Linked DNA regions of Caenorhabditis elegans. The protein of the gene in region 4 purifies or fractionates together with the protein of the main gene of each other region. This does not show direct contact. Each region holds a gene or a part of one and is shown on either strand. Other genes may lie near its edges.

The links.
Region 1: the proteins of hel-1 (region 4) and Y54F10AR.1 fractionate together in Caenorhabditis elegans (co-fractionation; one large-scale study listed by BioGRID). This does not show direct contact.
Region 2: the proteins of hel-1 (region 4) and C34C12.8 fractionate together in Caenorhabditis elegans (co-fractionation; one large-scale study listed by BioGRID). This does not show direct contact.
Region 3: the proteins of hel-1 (region 4) and lsm-8 fractionate together in Caenorhabditis elegans (co-fractionation; one large-scale study listed by BioGRID). This does not show direct contact.

The regions. Positions count from the first base shown.
Region 1 is NC_003281.10:2,571,001-2,578,087, reverse strand, and holds Y54F10AR.1 (Phosphatidylinositol transfer protein N-terminal domain-containing protein), read left to right. Parts: upstream 1-2,402; coding exon 2,403-2,419; intron 2,420-2,831; coding exon 2,832-3,026; intron 3,027-3,084; coding exon 3,085-3,402; intron 3,403-3,460; coding exon 3,461-3,581; intron 3,582-4,700; coding exon 4,701-4,862; 3' UTR 4,863-5,930; downstream 5,931-7,087. Other genes in the region: Y54F10AR.2 (Mitochondrial genome maintenance exonuclease 1), read left to right, coding at 6,541-6,635.
Region 2 is NC_003281.10:3,457,929-3,462,404, forward strand, and holds C34C12.8 (GrpE protein homolog, mitochondrial), read left to right. Parts: upstream 1-2,477; 5' UTR 2,478-2,482; coding exon 2,483-2,532; intron 2,533-2,584; coding exon 2,585-2,688; intron 2,689-2,756; coding exon 2,757-2,998; intron 2,999-3,057; coding exon 3,058-3,273; intron 3,274-3,394; coding exon 3,395-3,496; 3' UTR 3,497-3,662; downstream 3,663-4,476. Other genes in the region: C34C12.2 (Fibronectin type-III domain-containing protein), read left to right, coding at 68-1,081, 1,544-1,825, 1,893-2,117; pph-6 (Serine/threonine-protein phosphatase 6 catalytic subunit), read left to right, coding at 3,776-3,852, 4,374-4,463. UniProt on the Caenorhabditis elegans protein: Essential component of the PAM complex, a complex required for the translocation of transit peptide-containing proteins from the inner membrane into the mitochondrial matrix in an ATP-dependent manner.
Region 3 is NC_003282.8:6,323,840-6,330,283, forward strand, and holds lsm-8 (U6 snRNA-associated Sm-like protein LSm8), read left to right. Parts: upstream 1-2,686; 5' UTR 2,687-2,693; coding exon 2,694-2,777; intron 2,778-3,004; coding exon 3,005-3,120; intron 3,121-5,269; coding exon 5,270-5,366; 3' UTR 5,367-5,640; downstream 5,641-6,444. Other genes in the region: sqd-1 (RRM domain-containing protein), read left to right, coding at 506-799, 887-1,394, 1,472-1,596; Protein seu-1, read left to right, coding at 5,800-5,814, 5,928-6,173, 6,321-6,444.
Region 4 is NC_003280.10:8,326,352-8,331,632, reverse strand, and holds hel-1 (Spliceosome RNA helicase DDX39B homolog), read left to right. Parts: upstream 1-2,762; 5' UTR 2,763-2,763; coding exon 2,764-3,090; intron 3,091-3,133; coding exon 3,134-3,410; intron 3,411-3,456; coding exon 3,457-3,575; exon of another isoform or gene 3,576-3,700; intron 3,701-3,746; exon of another isoform or gene 3,747-3,937; coding exon 3,938-4,472; intron 4,473-4,518; coding exon 4,519-4,538; 3' UTR 4,539-4,781; downstream 4,782-5,281. Other genes in the region: C26D10.4 (GHMP kinase N-terminal domain-containing protein), read right to left, coding at 1-46, 346-508, 555-1,025, 1,556-1,755, 1,802-1,865; C26D10.3 (Pyridine nucleotide-disulfide oxidoreductase domain-containing protein 1), read right to left, coding at 2,043-2,229, 2,277-2,341, 4,801-4,935, 4,984-5,193, 5,241-5,281.

The DNA.
Region 1 (7,087 bases), on a different chromosome or scaffold from region 4:
GAAGCAATAGCCCAAGCCTGAGCCTAAGTCTATGCCTAGGCCTATGCCTAAGCCTATGCTTAAGCCTAGGCCTATGACTAAACCTAAGCCTAAGCCTAAATAGCCAATTTATCGCCAATTTTTAACTTTTCAGACGAAAATCGAGATTTTTACAGTTACAGAGAAAATCTTCCAATTTCTAGATTTTATTGTTTTTGGAAGTTAATAAATCGATTTTCAGCAGATAGTCTAATTTTCTTGGCGCTTTTTAATGGCCAAAGGTACCGTACTCTGTGTAAAGGCGCATAACCACGTAGTATCAGCATGTCCCATCACGGTTTGATCTACAAAAAATGCGGGATTTTTTTGCCCAAAAATATGTGACGTCAGCACGTTCCTAACCATACGAAATCAGTTGAGAACTCTGCGTCTCAATTCCTGCATTTTGATTTTTTTTTTCCATTTCTTTACCGATTCACGTGGTGTCAAAGTGCCTTCTTTCGGCATGATCTACATAGATCTACAAAAAATGCGGGAGAAGAGACGCAGAGTTCTCAACTGATTTCGCATGGTTAACAACGTGATGACGTCACATTTTTTTTGGCAAAAAATTCCCGCATTTTTTGTAGATCAAACCGTAATGGGACAGCCTGGCACCACTTGAACCCAGCTTTTTTCGATTTTTTTTTGAATTTTAATTATTTAATAGGGGAAAGTCAAAAAAATCGATTTCATATTGTTTCCGCAAGTCGAAATTTGATTTATGTGTATCTGCCCCAAACTTGTCGCTCATTTCCATGGTGATTCTCGCGCCAGCTTCACACTTTTTCAGATTTTCCATTGAAAATGTCATCCGTCACTTGTTTTTCCAACCCATTTCGCTCCTCTCCATAGTCGTTACTTTTTACTTTATATAGCCTCTCTCTCTCAACTTGACAGCGCACACGCTACTCCACAAACATGACATATTTAGTTTCTGCTCCAGCTCTTTTTTCTCCTCCGTTTTCCCCCCGTCCCGGGTGTTATCGATTTTTCGCCGCGCCGCCCTCTTTTTTTTGGGGAAGGCCATTTTTAATACTATTTTCCATCTTTTTTCCGTCTTCCTTCTTCCAAAAACGTTAAAAGAAAGGAAAAAAAAACGAATATTTCTTCCTCTTTTTCTTCCAAGAAAGGCTCGAACCCTGCTGTTAATCGAGAAGAGAGTATACGAAGTCACCGAGAGGAATGCTTGCGCATTTCGCGTGCCTAGTGAGTCGGCAAGTGAGACAGAAACACAGAAAGCATTCGATTTTCTCCTCGTTGCTGCGCTTATTGCTTCATCTATTTCGTCTGTCTTTTTTTTTTCTTTTTTCCGCTTTGTTTTTATGTTTTTTGCGGGTGTATGGACCTTAACACGTCATTTTTTGCAGTTTTTGCACTGAAAATTGGTCGGAAAATCGTTAAAACCTTCTGAAAACTCATTTTAAATTCAATAAAATTAAATATTCATCACACTTTTGTAGATCGTCGCGAGACCCGAGCCAATTCAAAGACCATGCACCTTTAAAAACCATTTCAAGATTTTTCGTGTATTATGCTCGCTTTTCTCTCGGAATTCCAATCGGAAATTAAAAATAATCTTAATTTTCACTTCGAAATCAAGTTTTCAATATTAAATCGTTAGAATTTCATTTAAAACCACCTAGAAATAGCTTAAATTTGTTTAAAAGTTTAAAAACTTGAAAATTAATTACAATTTCTGTAGATCGCTGCGAGACCCGAGTCTCTTCAAACTATATGCGCCTTCGATTACTGCCCTTCTCAAATTCGTTTTTTTCGCTTTTCCCACGGAAAATTGAGTGATTTTTCCATTTTTCCCTCAAGAAATTTCAAAATGAGAAAAATTTCGCAACACCTCTCTCTCTCTCTCTATTCATGATGACTAATAATTCTACGATTTCGCATTGTTTGGGAGAATTTTGTATTTTTCATGAGAGACGCCGTTAAAATTTCCAATTCCGATTTAATATTGTCATTTTCTATTTAAAAACGTTAGAAAATATATTAAATATTGGTAAAATCAACTTAATTTTACTAAAAAACTTTAAAAAATTCAAAAATTTATCAAACTTTTGTAGTTCGCTGCGAGACCCATCGGCAATTGGAACTCCGTGCGCCTTTAACTTTTCGATCAATTTTTTATTTTTAAATCCAAAAATTTTCAATTTCCCGCTAAAAATCGTTAAAATCTTTGTGAATTTCCTTCAAATTACGAAATTTCGCAATAATTTTCTTCTTTTTCTCGAATACCTTCCAAAATGCAAAAATAAAATCGATTTTCGCATGCTCTCCACCCATTAATCTTCCGTAAAGCTGTTTCCATGGCAACTAGCATAAAAAATTTAGTTTTCAGGTGGTTTCCTCCTCATTCGACACTCGCAAGAATGATTATCAAGGAGTAGTAAGTGATTTTTTTATTTTTAACGAAAATTTTGATTTTTCCTGGAAAAAATCGGTTTTTTTCCAGATTTTCCAACAAAAAAAAATCGGATTTCTCCATTCTTTTCCCAAAAAAATCGGATTTTTTCAAGATTTTTCCCGGAAGAATCGGATTTTTTCCAGATTTTTTCAAAAAAATCGTATTTTTCCAGATTTTTCCATTAAAATCGGATTTGTTCCAGATTTTTCCATTAAAATCGGATTTGTTCCAGATTTTTCCATTAAAATCGGATTTGTTCCAGATTTTTTCCATTCTTTTCCCAAAACAATCGGATTTTTTCCAGATTTTTTCAAAAAAAAAATCGTATTTTTCCAGATTTTCCCAAAAAAATTGGATTTTTTCCAGATTTTCAAAAAAAAAAATTTTTTTTCAGCCGAGTTGTGCTTCCAATGTCCGTCGAAGAGTACCAAGTAGGCCAGCTCTGGTCTGTGGCCGAGGCCTCAAAAGCCGAAACGGGTGGCGGTGAAGGTGTGGAAGTGCTCAAAAATGAGCCATTTGACAATGTTCCACTGCTCAATGGACAATTCACGAAAGGACAATATACTCATAAGATTTATCATCTTCAATCGTAGGATTTTCTTCTTTAATTCTGCGAAAAAAATTGGAAAAAAAATCAATTTTTTCAGGAAAGTCCCGGCAATTTTGCGAAAAATCGCGCCAAAAGGTTCTCTGGCTATCCACGAAGAAGCATGGAATGCCTATCCGTACTGTAAGACGGTTGTCACGAATCCAGACTATATGAAAGAGAATTTCTATGTGAAAATTGAGACAATCCACTTGCCGGACAACGGAACGACCGAAAATGCGCACGGTTTGAAGGGCGATGAGCTGGCGAAACGAGAAGTTGTCAATATTAATATTGCAAATGATCACGAGTATTTGAATTCCGGAGATTTGCATCCAGACTCCACTCCATCCAAATTTCAGAGCACAAAAACCGGGCGGTACGGGAAAAACCTTGAGATTTTTCAGTTTTTAAATTAAAAAAATCTGAAATTTCAGCGGTCCTTTATCTGGAAATTGGAAGGATAGTGTACAGCCTGTAATGTGTGCCTACAAGCTTGTTACAGTCTATTTCAAGTGGTTTGGATTCCAGAAAATTGTCGAAAACTACGCGCATACGGTGAGATTACGAGAGGATTTCGTGGATCGACAAAATGGGCGAAAATGCTCAAAAAACGAGCTTTTTTTTGTTTGAAATTTGTAGAATAACCCTATGTCGATTTACGCAGATCGTGTACTCCCCGAGGAGAAGAATTTCAAAGTTTAAAACTGAAATTTTCGATTTTCGTGGTTTTTTCATACTCAAATTGACAATTTATAGGGTTCTTAGGTGAAAATCAACAATTTTCACTTAAAATCTGATAAATGTAAATAAAATTAAATAAATAAAATCTGATAAATAAAGTTTTCACCTAAAAACCTAACAAACTGCCAATTTGAATGTGAAAAAACCGCGAAAATTGCCAAAAAGTCAAAAGGAAAACCTAGAAAACCTCTAATTTAAGTGGAAGAGGTTTTACACAGCCATTCTTCAATTTTCGAGCAAAATTTCGAACAATTCCGGAAAAAAACTGAAAACCGAGCTGAAAAAATGGAAAAATTTCGCATAAATGCTCGTGGAAATTTTCAAAAAAGTGGATTTTTACCCGATAAATTAATAAATTTATTTAAAAAATCTCAAAAATTAGCTTGAAATTGGAGAAATTTTCTTTAAAAAACCGCAAAAAAAAAGAAGTTTTCGAAAAATTGCATACGAAAAATGTAGAAATCGAGCTGAAAAATGCACAATTTTCGTAAAAATTTTTTTCCATCTTTTTCGCTGAAAATTTTTATAAATGAAAAATAAAAAAAATAAACCAAAACATTGCTTAATTTAATAAAAATTTCAAAAAGTGCGAAAAAATTGAATTTTAATTTTAAAAAAAGCTGGAAAACTGCGCAATTTTGTATAAAATCCTATAAAGTAAAATTTTCGAAAATGTTTTTTTTTGTTAACCCAGTAATCTACCTGAAAAATGGACATTTTTGTTGAGATTCACGTGAAAATGTTCAAAAATCAGATTTATTTCAGATTTTTCCAAAAAAAAAAATAATTTTTCCATTATTTTCCTTTAAAAAAACGGTTTTTTCGCCAAAAAATCTCGGATTTTTCCATTACTTTCCCAGAAAAATAGGTTTTTTTTTCTAGAAAATTCAGCTTTTTTCCATTTTTTCTCCAAAAAAATCCCAAATTTTTCAGCAATACCCTCGCCTGTTCTCGAAATTCCATCGGGAAGTATTCTGCTGGATCGATAAATGGCACGGCCTTACAATGGTCGATATTCGAGAAATCGAGGCAAAAGCCCAGAAAGAGCTCGAAGAGCAAAGGAAGAGTGGACAAGTTCGTGGAATGAATGGATAAATGGACCACCGGGCCGTGTTTGGGCTCAAATTCTAGTCTTTTTCCGATTTTTTTCATCGCTCTTATTTCTCTAATTCTCTCTCTCTCTCTCTCTCTCTCTCTCGCTTCCTCCCACCCATCCACCTGCCCCATGATGAACTGTGTGATTATTTGAGTAGTGTGAATTTTGGGAATTTTGCTTAAAAATTTCTAAAATTATGTTAAATTTGAAAAAAAAAGAAAAATCACGAAAAATCAAAAACTCTACTTAAAAACCGCTTTTTTTGAATTTCCCGCCAAAATGAGACTTTCGACCAATCAGCGATTCGCTCCACCCACTTTCGGACCAATCATTGGTCCAAAACTGGGCGTAGCGAAGCGCTGATTGGTCGCTGTTTTTTTTGAATTTTTTTATAGCAAAACATTCGGAAATTAAAAAAAAATGGCGAAAAATATAACTTTAAACTCGTAATTTTTGAATTCCCGCCTTCGAACTCCGCCCACCTGTTCTGATTGGTTGAATGATGGGCGGAGCGAATCGCTGATTGGTCGCAGAAAATCTCGTTTTTTTTGGTGATTTTTTGAAAATTTTCAAAGCAAATATTCCGAAATTTTGAAAAAATGCGAAAAATTTATAATTCCCGCCAAAATGTGAACTCCCCGACCAATCAGCGTCTTCGAACTCCGCCCACGCGTTCTGATTGGTTGAATGATGGGCGGAGCGAATCGCTGATTGGTTGACGTATTTTTCACTTTTTTTAAAAAATTTTTTGCCTATTTTTCGATTATTTTAAAGCAAAAGTCCCCATTTTTTCACACTGCTCCCCTTTTAAAAACTATTTTTTTTTTCTTATTTTTTTCGTCCCGGCGCCATTTTTTCACTCACTTTATCCACACACACCAGCTCCCACTCACTAGAATACATAGCTCTTTTTTGTCCTTAAAATCGACACCAGTGTGAAATCAACAACAAAAGTTGCTCACTATTTATTATATAGCTTCTGAAATGAAATGCAAAAAAAATCTCATATCACCCCGCACCCCCAGCTCTTTATTATAGAAAATGATAATTTATACAGTTTTTTTTTGTTTTTTGTGACCCCCCCCCCCCTCTTTTTTAGTAACAAAAAATCTTAAAATCAAAAATTCCAGAGAAGAATAAACGCATGTCTCATTTTATTTTTTGAAAAATTTTAATTTTGAGAAAAAACCAAAAAATCCGGTTTAGGAACCTAAATATTTCGAAAAAAACGACATTCTGGGTCTCGACGCGACGGGAATTTTTGTTAAATGCGAAAAGGTATGCGCCTTTAAAGACTACTGTAGTTTCGAATTTTTCACAGTTTTTCGATTTAAAAAAATTTCTGAAAAATAAAAAAAATCGATAAAATTTGCAATAAAATTCAGCTAATTTTGAAGTTTTTTCTACAATTTTTTTTTGAATTAAAATAAATTTAAAAAAACTTTAAAATGAGCTGAAAAATGCACAACTTTGCACTTTTTGGGTTAAAAATTGCTCAAAAATCGCAGTATTTCATCCATTTTCGAAATTAAAAAAAAAAAATTCGAAAACCCCGAAAAATTGATGAAAATTTGAAACTACAGTACTCTTTAAAGGCGCATACCTTTTCGAATTTAACAAAAAAAATTTCGTCGCGTCGAGACCCATTTTTCTGGGCTAAAATCGCGAAATTTTCAGATGAGATGGGCTACAGCCTCCACCGTACGGGCATTTAGTACAGAAATACCGCCGAAAAAAGATTTTCAGCGGGTTGCAGCACTCGCCAAGCTGTGGTGAGGGATTTTTTATCAATTTTTCGGAGAAAACTGCTTTAAAAAACGTTTAAAAGCGCTAAATCTTACATGAAATTGGAAAAAATTGGGAAAAAAGTTGGAAAACAGCGTAAAAATTGCATTTTAACAAGAAAAATCGAAAAAATGAGCAGTTTTCAGCTCATTTTCGAGGTTTTTTTTTCGATTTTTACTTGGCAAAACTTGCAGAAAAATCGATTTTTTCACGAAAAAGAGAAAAAAATACAGAAATTGCGTAAAAACAAGAATTTTAAATCGGAAATGTCAAAAATTTATTGGAAAAATAATTTTGAAAATTAAAAATAGGAAAAATAGCCAAAAATGGTCTAAATTTACATAAATGTTTTAAAAAACGGAGAAAAATCCAGAAATTGCGTAAAAATTGAATTTAAATGGGAAAATTCCAAAAAAAAACACTTTAAAAAATTGAATTT
Region 2 (4,476 bases), on a different chromosome or scaffold from region 4:
GATAATTCAAAATCATGAAAAAACTAAATTTTCCATAATTTTTTTTCAATTTTTCTCTAAATTTCAGAAAAACACGCCATCAACATCGAATTCAATCACTCTAAATCCATCTTCTCGTGGTGATCAAACCCAATTTATTGTACATCTACAACGAACAATTGAACGATTGGAAAAAGAAAAAGCTGCGTTAACGGAGAAATTGACAATGCGAGAGGATGAGATTAAAGTGTTTTCAGTGGAATTTGTGAATATTCAAAAAGAAAATGTTAAACTAATGAAGGAGAACAAAGCTAAAGAATCACAAATTTCAAACCAATCGATTCAAGTTCGAAATTCGTGGAAATTCGCAGATTTATTCAAGAAAGAGCTGCAGAAAAGTCGGAAAGACGTGTCGGAAGTGAAATGGAAAATTGATAAAATCGAAAAAAAAGTCGGCATCAAAAAGCCTACACCAAGGAAGAAGCCTGATGTAAAGCTGATAAATCCAGAGGATATTTCATTGATGTCTGACAGAACCCAGGATGGGGAAGATTCAAGTGACTTCGGAAGTCCTCTAGCGAAATATCTGAAGCCTGATCAGCCCAGCACAAGTTCTGCGTGCTATGGGAAGCCGTTCTATTTTGAAAGCACCAGCAGCAGCTCCAGAAAGCCCATCACAGCATCTCCAGGCCCTCCAGGCCGAACACAAATTTCGGATCAGCTGAACACTGGAGAAGTTAGATATGTGGTGAATTCAGGAAAACCATTCAATTTTAGCTCGGAAAGTAACTCCAGGAACTTGAAGCTTATTCCAGGATATATTAAGAGACCAGAATTTCGCTATATCAAGCCAGAAGGCTTCACCTCAGCCTCTTACAAAGCTCAGTCAGAAGGAATGAGCTCGTTTTTGAAGACTGGAAGCTCTGCAACTCCTGAAAATTCGAAGAAATCAGCCCATTTTGACATGCCGGATATTTCCTCAACGCCTTACAAATCTCACGTGGTGGTGGAATCGGACGAAATGAATAGTTCTTCGAGTACAATTGGAGGATTTGAGTCAGAAAAGAAAGATAATGGAGCTCTCGGAAGCCAGAAATCTCCTGTTAGTTATAACGAAAAAAATTGCTAAAAAATTTACTTAAAATTCCGCGAAATTTTGCCAATCTGTCAGTATCGATTTTTTCAATTTTTCAGGAAAAAAAAGTCAAATTTTAAGGTTTTTTCAATAAAAAACTTTTGAAAATGAAAAAATCCGCCAAGACGATTTGTTCGATGGGGCGCGCTTGCATTATTTTTTGTTTTTGTTTTTTTGTCCTAATTATTTCACTGAATTCCTTCATGTTTTGTGTATTTTTACTGAAAATTTGAAAAGCTAATGAACAATTTGCATTTATCTTGACTTTTCATTCAAATTTTCAGTGAAAATTCACAAAAAATGAAGAAGTTCAGAGAATTGATGAGAAAAAAAAAACAAAAATTAAAATAATGCAAGCGCGCTCTATTGAACAAAGTCTCTTGGCGGTAATTTGAATATGAAACTGGCAAAAATGGAAAATTATTGCAGATGCCCGACATTGCCACAGCACTTCACAATATATTTGATTCAAAAGAAGTTCAAAGTAGTTCTTCAACCACCGGAAGCTCTGCACCGCCCGAAAATTCGAAGAAATCAGATCATTTTGACATGCCGGATATCTCCTCAACTCTTTACAGATCTCGTGTTGAGCCAATCAGCAGCTCTTCCAGTGGATCTACCAGCACAAGTGCTCCGAGATATGTGCCAAAACCAATAGCCCAGCCAGCTCGATATGCAATTCCAAGTCCGGGTGCTTTGAATGCCTTAAGAGTGAGTGACAGCCGGAATCGCTCAGTTTACTGGAGCGCACTTGCAATAATACATACTTTTTTTTCAGCGTCCCCCAGAATGGAAAGGTCAGCGCCGACATGCGCCGAGTTACGTGAAATCCAGAGAAAGCGTCACGTTCAGAGGATGCTCCAGATTTCCAGTCACATCACCGCATTTCGCGAAAGCTCACCTGGAACCTGTGACTGATGGAAAAGATGATTCGAAAATTGTCAAATATCGATTTGTACCGAAGCGACCAGATTTTGATGGAGAACGCGAACATAAGAAGTGACAAATCTTGGTTTTTTTGTGTTTAAGGCTTTTAGAGCATTGATAATAAATTTTTTGTTGGATTTGCTGTGTTTTTTTGCGGAAATACACAGATTTTTGCAGAAAAAGTTAAGAAAAAACTGCTACAGTTTGCCCTTTTCCACTTTAAATTGCCGCTTAAAAACTCCTCGAAAAGAGTGTGCAAAGCATGGAGACGCAGACACGCACGAAAATCACGCCAGCACGTTACTGGCGCACTTGAGTCATGTGCTGGCGCATTTCTTGTCATGATGAAATTTATTAATTTTTTCTTCGTTTTTTACCAATTTCCGCCGATTTTTCGTTTTTTATTCCTAATTTCTTCAAATTTTGGCAATTTCAGACAATATGCTGCGCAAAGGAGTGTCTTTCGTCGGCCAGGCTGTTCAACAAACGCTGTAAGTTCCTTGAATTTTGAATAACGGTGAAAATCAAATTTTTTCATTGCAGGAAAACTCAGAAAAACTTGCGCATTCAAAGATTCAGCGCCACGGCATCACAATCATCGGAAGAAGTCAATTATGAGATTAGAAAAGACGGAAAGAGACTCAGAGGTAGCGATTTTTACTCTAAAACAAATTCTAAATTCTAAAAACTGATATAATATTTAAAAAAAAACCAGGAGCCGACTATGAAGAAATTGTTCTTACTTCGATTGCCGGCGAGGACAAGACACAGATTCCAAAGGGTGCTTTTGATGTTCTTCTCAAGGAATACGACGATTTGCAGGCCGAAAGCTTGGATTTTAAGGATAAATATCAAAGATCGCTTGCTGAAACTGAAAATGTTCGTCGGCGAGGTATCAAGCAAACCGACGATGCTAAGGTTTTTGCAATCCAATCATTCTGCAAAGATTTACTTGAGGTTCGATTTTTAAAATCAAAATCAACCGAAAAACAATTAAAATAATTCCAAATTTGCAGGTCTCCGATATTCTCGACATTGCCGTCAAGTCTGTGAAGCCAGAAGATCTGGAATCGGGAGGAAAAGCTCTGAAAGATCTTTTCGAAGGAGTTTCAATGACCCGTACTGTCATGGCAAAGACATTCGCAAAGCATGGCCTTGTGACCGTGGATCCAACCAATGAAAAGTTCGACCCCAATCTCCACGAAGCCGTTTTCCAGATTCCATCTGCTAATGTTAGTGCTAACCGCCCGAATTTTCCGAAATAAAAGAGCCAAATCTTGTATTTTTTGAACAATTTGGGCTTATTTAATCCTTTTTAAATGCCACAAAATGCTTAATTTCCTCCATTTTCAGGCCAAACAACCTGTCGGACATATCGAAGTGTGTACAAAGATCGGCTACAGCCTGAAAGAACGTCCAATTCGGCCTGCTCAAGTTGGAGTCGTCTCTAAATAATTTTCTTTTAATTTTCCTCTGGTTTTTTAATGTTTTTCCGGTTTTTTGTAGTTTTTTTTTGAATAGCTAGTAATTTTTATTGTTTTTCTGTTTTTTCCGTTATTTCATCACACTCCAATCACTTTTTCCCGCCGTTTTATAGGATTCGAATGAACAATTTTTGAGTTTCAATTCCCTTTTTTCCACTTTTTCGATAGGTTTTCAGCCATTTTTCATATATTTTTTAATTTTAAACAGGAAAAAAGCTTCTTTTTCATTTAAAACCGTAAAATTTTCAGAATGATCGACACAAACCTTCTTCGGGTGACAGTGTGCGATGAAGGAGAGCTCGAAAAGAGCACAACGCATTTTATTGGGTACCAAATTTTGGATATTTCAAGCGAAAAATGCGATTTTCCAAGCACAAATCGCTTTGTGTCGATTTACGCAGCTCGTGTACTCCTCGAGGAGAAGATTTTTATAGTTTTTGGAGAAAATGCTCAATTTTTGACCAATTTAACATTAAAATTGTCATTTTAATTATTTTAAATGAAAATCGACTACAAATCATCGTTTCCAGCAGTTTTCCATATTAAAAATGCTGAATTTCAGCATAAAAATTACCAAAAAAGCGAAAAATCGGCGATTTGAACGTTAAACTTTTAAAAAACAGCGAAAATGTAAAATCTAGCATTTTAGTCGAAAACTAGTATTTTTCTCCTCGGGGAGTACACGAGCTGCGTAAATCTACATTAGGCGATTTGAGCTTGGAAATTGATTTTTTTTACTCAAAATTGAAAAATTCTGCGAAAAATTTCGAATTTTTTTGCAAATTTCTAAAAAAAAACTTAAATTTCAGCTCCAAAATTATACAAAACTTAATTTTTTTCATTTCCAGATCTCGAAAAATAGAGCCGGAGCAATGGATTACGTGGGCGAGCGAATGCAAATACTTGCCCGAATCTGACGCTGTTGCTCTTTGTGCAACGTAAGAAAAAAGC
Region 3 (6,444 bases), on a different chromosome or scaffold from region 4:
AGGACTACGAAGTGGCACGCAACGCTCGGGTCTCGCAGCGACCTGCTGACGCCGCATTTACCGTAGCGTCTGCAGTTCAAATTCGAGACGTTATCCAAAGGGGCGGTTGCACGTTTTTGGCCTTTTTTTTGTCAAATTTCATAATTAAATATTTTTTCCCACGAATTATGACTTTCTAATGTGAAATTTATCTGTTCTTCTATAGGTTATCGTCGAAAAATCAATAGTTTCATGAGGAAATTTTTTTTTAGGCCGGAATCTTTTCTCGAACGAAATCCCAATTCTTACCGATTTGACAATTTATTGTGTCTTTTTCATCCACTAATTTGTATACTTTTCAGGGTATTTTCTAGATAGTCTTAACGGCTACACTTTTTTAATTTCCAAGGCTTTTTTATCCAGCTTTTACCTTTATTTGTTCTTTTTTTTTGGTTCAGTAAAGTAAGGTGGGTGAATTAAAGGTCTCGATGCAGTAAATATAGTTGTGTTTCAGATAGTAGTAAAAATGGAAGCTACAGATAACAAGATTAACGGTAACGCCTCTGAGACTATCAAGGAAAATGGACACTCGACGAAGGGAAACGAGGACAAGAAGATATTCGTTGGTGGAATCTCGCCCGAAGTGAACAACGAAGATTTGAGCTCCCACTTCACCCAATATGGAGAAGTTGCTCAAGCTCAAGTCAAGTACGACCGGACTAACGGCCGCTCCAGAGGGTTCGCATTTGTCGAGTTCACCACTGGAGAGGGCTGTAAATTGGCCCTTGCTGCTCGCGAACAAACCATCAAGGGAAAATCTGTGAGTTCTTGTTTTTTTTCCTCGCCTACTTAAATGGCACTAAAAAGATATAAGTTCAATTGACAATAAACATATTTCTTGTTATAGGTCGAGGTAAAGCCAGCAAAATCGAGGGAAAACAAGAAGGTGTTTGTTGGAGGACTCCCATCGGACTACAGCGAGCAAGATCTTCGCTCTCATTTCGAACAATTCGGCAAGGTCGACGACATTGAATGGCCATTCGATAAGCAGACCAAGGCTCGTCGCAACTTCGCTTTTATCGTATTCGAGGAGGAGGAGTCCGCAGACAAAGCATCTTCCCAGACAAAACAGACCTTCGGAACTCGCGAATGTGACGTGAAAAAAGCAGTTCCACAAGGAAAACGGTTCCCAGGCGCCCAAGGGCGTATGCCAGGTGGTCGCGGAATGTATGGTGGACGTGGTGGAAATAACAACTCGGGATGGTATGCTGGATGGGGACAAATTGGAGCTATGCCATACGGAGCTACTGGAGCAGCTTGGGGAGACTGGTACGGAAACGGTTATTACGGCCAACAAGGTGCAGCACATCACAACAACAGCGGATCATCGCAAGGTTACGGAAGCGGATACCAGAGTTAGTTTTGTTACTATTTGATTCCATGTCTTGTGACTCATTCCACAAGGAATGCATCAGTATACTTATTCTATCAGGTTTTGCAGGAAATAACAGTGGATTCGATTACCAACAAGCTCAAGGAGCCAGACAGGGCAACAATGGCCAACCACGCTTCCAACAGCAGCCACAACAACAAACTGCTCAAGCCCAACAGTTCTAAATGTGCCTTCAGAACATCACCTCAATCACCATCTGAAATGCCTCCATCACAGTCCTCTTCAGAATTCCTGTTTCCTTCCTACCTAATCTTTCAAAAAATGTCCAAATTGTTTTGTCCTCACGCCCAGACTCAATCAAAAGCAGTTACAAATCGACCCTAAATTTCTAACGCGCGTTTTTCTTTAATTCCTTTTTTGGCAATGACGATCTGAGATGTGTTGTTCCCGAGGTTGAATTTTATATCGAACCAGTTTGTTTTGTTTCTCTGATTCTCACCCAAACTATCATCGACTCTCAACTTTTTTCCGTTGGTAATCTTTGATTTGAATAACTCCAGGAATAATAATAACATACTTTTGTTGTTTTAGATGATGTTCTTGTGAACATAATACTTTATCCACCCGCCTTTTTAGATGTGTAGAAGTACTTTATTTCCATCAGTTTTTTCAGTCATTTTTTGTTGTTTTAATTGTTTCGCTCGTTTTTTCTTTGAGCGATTCTGCGGCAGAAAACAAACTGTATTTTTACTTCTCTTCCCTAAAGTCTGTATGCTTCGCCCCCAATTTTTGTCTTTTAGTTGTTGTTATGGTGCTTTTTCCTTTGTTCAGGAACTGGTAACCAATTAGACTGTGCAATTCACTGTAGTTGTCAAGTATATTCACATTGAATTGTGCAGTTAGTTGTTAATTTCCCTCATCTCATTGAAGTGTATCTGATGAATCGTCAGGTGTCCCGTCTTCGTCTAATCTCACAACACCCAGCCACCCAACAAAAGCTTCTCCCTTTTTCTCCTTCGTTTTTTGCCAATCTCACCCGTAAATTCGCTCCCAAAAGCCCCCCCCCAACCGATTCTAATAACTGCCTCTTCGTTTGACATGTTATTTGTTGTCACATTCGTTTTTAATGTATGATAGATTCATGTCAAACATTTGTGTTGATATTAAGCTGAGAATGAAATTTTTGAGGACTAGTTGTTCTTATATTATCATTAAATTTTTATGCTTCATGAATTGAATGCGAACAGGTGGGTTGCCGTGAAAAATATCTCACTTGGGAACAATAAACTTCAATATTTAGAAGTCAATTTTCAGATAAAATATGACTTCAACTCTAGATGCGTACATGAATCGGATGGTGAACGTGGTCACTGGTGATGGTCGGGTTATCGTTGGACTTCTGAAGGTAAAATATCTAGAAAGAAATGTTGCTTCTGCACTTGGCGACAAAGGTTCGAGCCTTTGTCAAGAAATTTCAAAAATGCAGCACATCTTGATTATTATAAAACACGAGATTTTGAATCCCAACTTTGAAGAAATTGTTCAAAAAGACTGAGCTTATGTGTCGGATTAAATAATTAAATTATGTTACCTTTTAAAATTTCAATATTTTATTCAATTATACAATTTTAGGGATTCGATCAATTAATCAACTTGGTGATTGAAGATGCTCACGAAAGGTCGTATTCTGAGACGGAAGGTGTGCTCACGACACCATTGGGACTATATATTATTCGAGGAGAGAATGTGTAAGTTGAAAATTGACGGGACATAATTTAAAAATCGATTTTACCTTGTCACGGTGCTCTGCTTTTGGAATTTATAGGTTTTCTGCGACTAAAATTAGTTGTTGATGAAGAGTTTAGAAATGTCTCTTCTTGAATATCTACTTCATTTATTCCGATGAATTTTACTTCCGAGTTCCCGTACCACCCAATCCGTGGGTCAAACGATCAACAAACCCTCGAAAACATTGGACTCGGCATGCTTTTCCTTCCATTCCGTGCACATTATCGAAAAACTGACCAATTGTTTCAATTGAGTAGTGGCGGAGCCGCCTGCTTCAGCAAAGAAGCTCTTGATCATGTACGAGAGTGTTAAAAACCAAGACAGTTTTTATTGCTCAAAATCCATGGTCTTCTCTTGTTGAGAGGAGATGTTGGACTTTTAATAAAAGACCGGGTACAAATGTTGAACATTTGGAGCATTTTATCTGGATTTTTTTTTCACATCGCCCCATTAAACCTTATAAAAAGCTTCACATCGCCTTGCTTGTTGCAAATTCGCTCTATCGCCATTCTTCAATCTTTTCGAATCTAAAAACTCGTTGGTCATTATGTACTCTCTATTTCACCCGGTCTCTCTCTTCTGTTCTTTCTTTTGGAGTGCTCTACGGACCAATTGCTTCAAATGAATTATCGATTTTTTAAATTGTCGCGTTAGAATAGTTTCTCTGTGTTAAAACAGATCGACCTAATTTCAATTATCATCAAGAGTTTTTTTTTCTATTCGATTCAATCTTTTCCGATGACATTAATCATCCGTTTTTTATAATGTTGCACCCATGCGATGATAAGATTTAATTGTGGTCGTTGACTATCAGTGCTGAGAATGGAATTTTCTCGTTCAATTCACTTCAAAACGGGTCAATGTTATCATCTCAGAAACATCAAATTGATTTTACTTCATTTCTTCCAGTTGAATATTTTCTATAACGTTCCGTCGACATACCTTCGCCAGTCAACATTGAGTCATCATTTAAAAAAAAAAGAAAGGTGCAAGTAGTCCTGGTACCTGATGTTCTATAACAACCAGATCAAGTGCTTCTGTTGTTCCTTTGATCATTCAGCTTTCGGCAGCCGTCTAAAAACATAGCAACTGGTCGTTTCTTGTGCTCTGTTACGGTCGGAAACACGGAAAAGTCGGGGAAGCATGACGTGTCAAAACATCTCTTCCAATCGTTCGGCATTTTCTCGCCCTCAATCACAATTTGATGCTTGACCAATATGATTGCCCGAAGCCTTGCAGCAGCACCAGCAATTTATTTTGTTTGTACTCTTCACATTTTCGCCGGCAACAAAAAAAAACAACGAAAGAGGGAAATAGTTATAGTGAACGAGAGAACGAATACGAAAATGGACAACGCGATGGGAAAAATGTTGAAAAAGTATCCGTTTTCCTATTCTATGTCGGAGCTTCACAACTTGCTTACTAGGTTTTCAGTTTTCAGTTTTACTTTGTCGTTTCTATCTGAAAAGCGCTTATAGTTAAAACATATTCAGTTAAGTTCCAAACGAACTAAAACTTTAAAAAAAAAACTCCTCGTTGAGCGAATGCGATTGATTATTTTATTGAAGTCTCTAAATTGGCTCTTCCAGTCTCTGTTCAATACCTAATTGTTTTCTGATTAGTTTCATTATATTTATTGATTTTTCGTTTCCGATACACCACTCTTCTCTATACTCCACTCCAAATGTCAAGTGATAAATACTCATATTTCGAAATAGTTTATTTTTGGATAGGATACCCCTTCTGGCCCTATTCATGTCCCATTCAAAACACAATTTTATGAAATCTTTTCTCACTTTTCGTCAGTGTAATATAGCTGGAAAAGATTAATGTAGACATGCGTCAAATGTCCGAAACTTTCACAATTTCACACCTTTCAATTCATTCCGTTCGAACTTTGTTCAAAGAAAATGTGATTCCATGAAAAAAGTGTTCGGAACCTGTTCTGTTTCCCTCTGGAGAGGGGTGGAGAAATTATCGGAACACTTTTTCATTGCAAAAGTTGAAACTAAACTTTTAAAGCTATGATGTATATATATATAAAGACCAATTCTGCAACTACTGTAGATTTTTCCAAATGTTTCTTTTTGAAAATCTATCATTTTTCAGAGCGATTATCGGTGAAATCGATGAAGAACTCGACAAACGCGTTGATCTGGAAAATGTGAAAGCGGCCCCACTTGCACCAATTTGGATTCCCCAATAATTTCCACACAAATCGATATTCTGCATTGACGCGTTGTATTGACTGGTTATTCTCATCGTTTCCCCCCACCATTTCTTCTCCCCATTTAAATCATTTTTCCCAAACTATTCTCCATTCTTTTCTTGTTTCCTTGACGGTTTTGTATTCATACCATCGTTTCTTTACCATTTTTGGATCTCTAATTTCCTCTCAAATATTGTGAAAATTTATACATATTTATTTGCTTTGTTTTTAATAGTTAATGTATTAAATATGCATTTATTCAAATTGCAACGTCATTGTATTTTTTCGTGTTTCAACCGTTTGTTTATCGGTTTAACATTTCTTTTTTTAATATCGTTTCCTCGTTGAACTTTGCCATTTCACAGAAATAACCTTGCAGAAAATATTCCAGTGCTCGATTTCAACGGAATATACGGATCGAAGTTGCAAAATGAGCAGTATCAGAGTGAGTTAAATAGAATGGGGAAAGGATAATTTTGAACAAGAGTTTTTGCGCGTTTTTCAACTTTCCTACCAGAATAAAAGCATAAAGTAAAAATCGATAAACATTTTTTCCAGAACCAGAACGACAATCGTCGACCAACATTCCGTGATCATCGTACACCACAATTTAGCGGTCGTGGTGGTAGTGGTGGTGGCGGACGCCGTCTTCAAAATCCAGCTCATTATCCACAACGCAGAGATATGTCGCCGATTCGCAGATCTTCAGCAATTTCACCAGTCAGACGTTCACAGGATCATCGCCAACGTTCGCCTGAAGTTCGACGTCATCGATCACCGGAAAAGGAGTCAAAAGACGCAGTGGTTGGTAGATTCACACTCACACCCAAAATATCTCTATAGTAACCTCTTCTGTAATGGAATTTGTTGGATTATTGACTGAAACTTATCCTCCCCCACCGATTTCTTCGGGGGCTGTATCTTGAAACGCGACGAATCTCATCAATCTAGGTCACATCGACTGGATCTTCACGTGGAGCCACGTCAGCATCTGTCACGTCGTCATCGAGAAGGCATGAGAGTGGGGAGAGACATAGAGAGACTCATCGTAGAGAGGATAAAGAGAAGAAGCCAG
Region 4 (5,281 bases):
TGTTCGGGAAACTTCTTATATTGATACTCGATTATATCCAGAACCTCTGAAAATAGTTTAAAGTTACAATATTGCAAAGTCTAGTTTTTGTGAGAATTCAACTGGTCTCAGTGGAGGAACAGATGTCTTCCGCTTTTTTTCAATCAACCCGATTGCGGAATCTCGTGATTTTTAATTCAAAATACGATGTCTGGTCTCGATACGACCGAAACTAAAGAGCTACCGTTCATAAGTTTCGTAATCTTCCCACAATATTGTTATAGTTTTGCCCAAATGTTCAAAATAAATTAATAGCACAAAAAATATCTCAAATTTGTTTAAAGGCACGGCAATTCAGTAACTTACCGACTCTTCCTTTAAAATCTTGAAATTTCTTGAAAATTTGTTTTCTTGCATTTGTCCGATCTTGCACATTCTCAGATACTTTTTCATGAATTCCCAACTTATTTTTGATAAATTCTTCTTCACTAGTACACGTTGCTAGAAAAAAATCAAAGAAAAGTGATAACTGAAACATGGCTATCAAAAGTGAAAGATGGTAAATCAAGACATACTTTCAATGGTGTAACGTTCGAATCTACTCCAAGATAAGTGGTTGCTGCTACTGGAAATTCCGAATAAAGTGACAAGAATAATGTAGCAGCATTCAATGGAAGATATATGAAGCCGAGAATTACATGACTGGATTCTTCAAAATGTTTCCCAGCGTATTCTCCATCAAATTCCATTCCAGACAATTTGTTATCTTTATCAACAATATACCATCCATGATGATCAAGCTGATTCTTCTTCTCCAGAAATGTAAACCCAGTTATAGAATCTTGCGGAAGATCAAACATGTTCAATTCCTTTTCGAGCTTCCATGACGCATCGCTACCAACAATCCATACCCCTGTATGCGTTGAATTTGCAGCAATTTTTGAACAGTTTTTGACAGAATTTGACAAATAAGTGTCAAATACATATCCATTACCACCCTTTATTGTTGAATTGTCTTTTGCGTTTTGAAGTGTTCGGGGATCGCTCTGAAAACTGCCAACAACAGTAACCCCTGCGACATATCTATAGATAGTTGAGTGTTCATATAATCCCAGTTTAAATAAACCTAAAGTAACGAAAAAGCATAATAAAACATTCTAAAAAAGTTTTTTCAGACAACGTTTTGACAAATTCCCAAATTTTCAAATGTATTGGCTTTTTGAATAATCTTGAGCATTGATGCAGGTTTTAACCCAGAAGTGTTCTAAAACATGTTTAAAACATACAGTTGAAACGCAATAAATATTAAGCTCGTAGAAATTATTATTTTTTGGTCGGCATCCAAAATTGTGAATGGCGAAAACTCTATTATCATCACTTTTTGACTAAAAATGGAAAATTTCAACACGTTTTAAGATGTTTTACTACACGCCACCGTAAATATTGAAACTTGAGACAAAAAATGTATTTATGCCTATTTCATTGTACAATTATAATTACAGCTATTTCTCAATGTCCAAGAAATTAATTATAATTTTTATTCTACTATTTTATCGAAATAATAAAAAGTACTCACCACCAAAACAATTAACACGTTCACGTCTTGCAAGACGGATTCTGTGAGTACTGTCAAATTATTCCTGTAGCATAGCCTTTCAGCAGTTCTTATTAATGCATTCAATGCACTTCCACAAGATCCTATATCTTCTGATGCATCATTTACTACAAGTATTTCTTCGCAATTCGGAAAGGCGATATTTTGGAAATGTCGTATATCTATAATACGAGTGTGTCTGTAGTTTATATCGTATGAAAATTGAACCTGAATCAATACTACTTGGCTCTATATTGAACCCTAATGAAAATGTGACAATGTCCCAACGCATTTGATAGAGAAAAAGAGTGTAAGAGAGCAAGGAGAATACGACTAGCACTGGTGTATTCCACGTGGTAAAGAGATGGAGACGCAGAAAATGTATAGATGTGAAAAAGATAGTAGAAAACTGGTTTAATATTATTCAAACACAACAAAATGTATAAACATCATACAGTATAATAATAATCTAATCAAAATAATCATCGAGATCAACTCCCGGCTCCAAGAATGTTTCTGAAATGCCTTCTAGATCTGTTTTGTTGAGAATCAGATTTTCGAGTGTCTCCTCCATGTCAGTTTCGCCAATTAGAAGGGCACCGACAATCTTATTTTTGACGACTACACATCGAACGAGTTGATCGTTATCGGCGTCTCTGAATATTAGAGCATGTTTCATTGTAATCTAAAAAGTGTACAGTACCTCAATACAATCTTCCATTCTCCTTCCACCTGTCTCTCTGGTTTGTAGTCTCCAAGAAACACCACCTGAAAGAACATTTGTTTTTCTATGATTCTTTGCACACATCTATCTTTCGGATCGTTTCGCTACTAATATTGTCTTGTGCACTGGACAGCTGTTTACAGCCACATTCCCCCTCTCGTATTTGAACACCCGCCCATTGCTAATTACTTCGCTGCGAGACCATACGAAGCGACGCGTTGCGTGTGCGTCGCGCGTCGAAAATATTCGAATGGGTATCGTTTCGCGGTTTATTCTTCATGAGGAGCAACCGCTCTGCATTTTCCTGTTTTGATCTGTTTTTGTGAGGTTATTTACTAAATTTCTTTTGATTGTTCTATTTGTGACTTTCTCTAATAGGTTAAACACTATTCTCTATTTTCTTCGTGAAATTAGGATTAATCTCAAGCCCCTTTTTATGAAGACCTTTATTTTTTTTTGTTTCAGAATGGAAGAGGAACAACTTCTTGACTACGAAGAGGAGCAGGAGGAGATCCAAGACAAGCAGCCAGAAGTTGGCGGAGGCGATGCCAGAAAAACTAAAGGAACGTATGCTTCTATTCATTCTTCCGGATTTCGTGACTTCCTCTTGAAGCCAGAAATTCTTCGTGCCATCGGAGACTGCGGTTTCGAACATCCATCGGAAGTACAACATGAGTGCATTCCTCAAGCCATTCTTGGAATGGACGTTGTCTGCCAAGCGAAGTCCGGTATGGGTAAAACCGCTGTTTTTGTAATCACCACTCTTCAACAACTGGAGCCAGTGGATGGCGAGGTAAACAGTAATACATCAAATTTCAATAAATCATTGTTTTCAGGTATCTGTTGTTTGCATGTGCCACACTCGCGAGTTGGCATTCCAAATTTCCAAGGAGTATGAGAGATTTAGCAAATATCTCCCAGGAGTCAAGGTAGCTGTCTTTTTCGGTGGAATGGCCATCAAGAAAGATGAGGAACGCCTTGCCAATGACTGTCCACACATTGTTGTTGGAACTCCAGGAAGAATGTTGGCTCTGGCTCGTTCTGGCAAGCTGAAGCTTGACAAAGTCAAGTACTTCGTCCTGGACGAGTGCGACAAGATGATCGGAGATGCTGGTAAGAAATACTTGTAAATATAGGAATCATTATTGAACTTTTTCAGATATGCGTCGGGATGTTCAAGAAATCGTCAAGATGACTCCACAACAGAAGCAAGTGATGATGTTCTCCGCCACATTGCCAAAGGAGCTTCGCACTGTTTGCAAGCGATTCATGCAAGACGTACGCTTTATCTCTGATCCGGAACCTACGGAACCGCTGTTCACTTTTTTGAAACAAAAAACATGTATCAAACCAAAATGCTAGTCATGTGTGTTCCGTGATGCGAAAGAGATGGCCAGAACTTGGTTGGTCGTTAATTCCGAAGTCGCTTTTTGATTTCTCGGATTTCAGATCTCATCTTGTTAAGCCTCTCGCCACGCAGAAGCCATCGTCCTCGGGGGAGGTAGCTGGCTCGCCTCAGCGAAGCTGATTGCTAATAGGTCGAAAGACTTGTCGGGAACACGTGACATGTACTGCAAAACACGTTCCAGCCCCCGATTCATCACCGTGCTGCCGTTCTAGACCTTAAAACATTTTTTCAGCCAATGGAAGTCTACGTCGACGACGAAGCCAAGCTCACTCTGCACGGACTTCAGCAACATTACGTCAAACTGAAGGAAGCCGAGAAGAACCGTCGTTTGCTGAATCTTCTCGATGCACTCGAGTTCAACCAAGTCGTCATTTTCGTCAAGGCCGTAAAACGTTGCGAAGCTCTCCACCAGCTCCTCACAGAACAAAATTTCCCATCAATTGCCATTCATCGTCAAATGGCTCAAGAAGAGCGACTTTCAAGATACCAAGCATTCAAAGACTTCCAAAAGAGAATCTTGGTGGCCACCGATTTGTTTGGACGTGGAATGGATATCGAAAGAGTCAACATCGTGTTCAACTACGACATGCCAGAAGATTCCGACTCGTATCTTCACAGAGTTGCACGTGCTGGTCGTTTTGGAACCAAGGGTTTGGCCATCACTTTCGTTTCTGATGAGAATGACGCCAAGACCTTGAACAGCGTTCAAGACCGCTTCGATATCAGCATCACTGAGCTCCCAGAAAAGATCGATGTCTCTACCTACAGTGAGTTTATATATACCAACGCCCATTCAAAAATTCTTATTTTCAGTCGAAGGCCGAACCAATTGATTCCATGTACCCTCCTATGCATTCAACTAAATATGAGTTCCACCTTCGTTTTACCCGGCATTGTGCTGATGGAGTAAAATGCCTATTGTTTCCCCTAAATTATCGACCTCTGTTTCTTGTGGTCTCATTTACCAATTTTCGTTATCGTTAACAGTTTCCAACTACACGCAAAAAAATTTGACTGTATTATTTATTTTTCTTTTTTCATGAGTGTTTGGAAATAAAATTCGACAATTACCATGCAAATTGTTATTTATCTCACCTTTAACCCGAAAAAAGTCGTACAATGCGAGAACAGTTCGAAATACATATTCTGCATACGAGCCTCTTCGACGCCTGCCACCATCGCTCTTCCACACACTTCTCCTTGCTGACGTGCTTGTGTCCACAATTGTCTCTTAAAATATTTCAACTTTATTTAACACTCAATCTATGGTTATAAAACTTGTTGCCAAAGAGTTGATGGTTCTGTGGTAGTCAGTGCACAAACATCTCCACATGCAAAAACATTAGGAAGTGAGGTTTCGCAAGCGTCGTTGACTTTAATTCCACTATTTTCAGTGATTTGGAGCATTTTATTCATAGCCCAGACTTCTGAGTTGGCAGTTACACCTCCTGCCCAAATAAAAATATCTGGATTGAGCTGGTTATCTGCCTTAATAAAATAACTAGGCTTAATGGTACGATAACTTAAAATGATACCATCTTTTCTTTATCCATGTAATGTACCGACAAATTTTGGG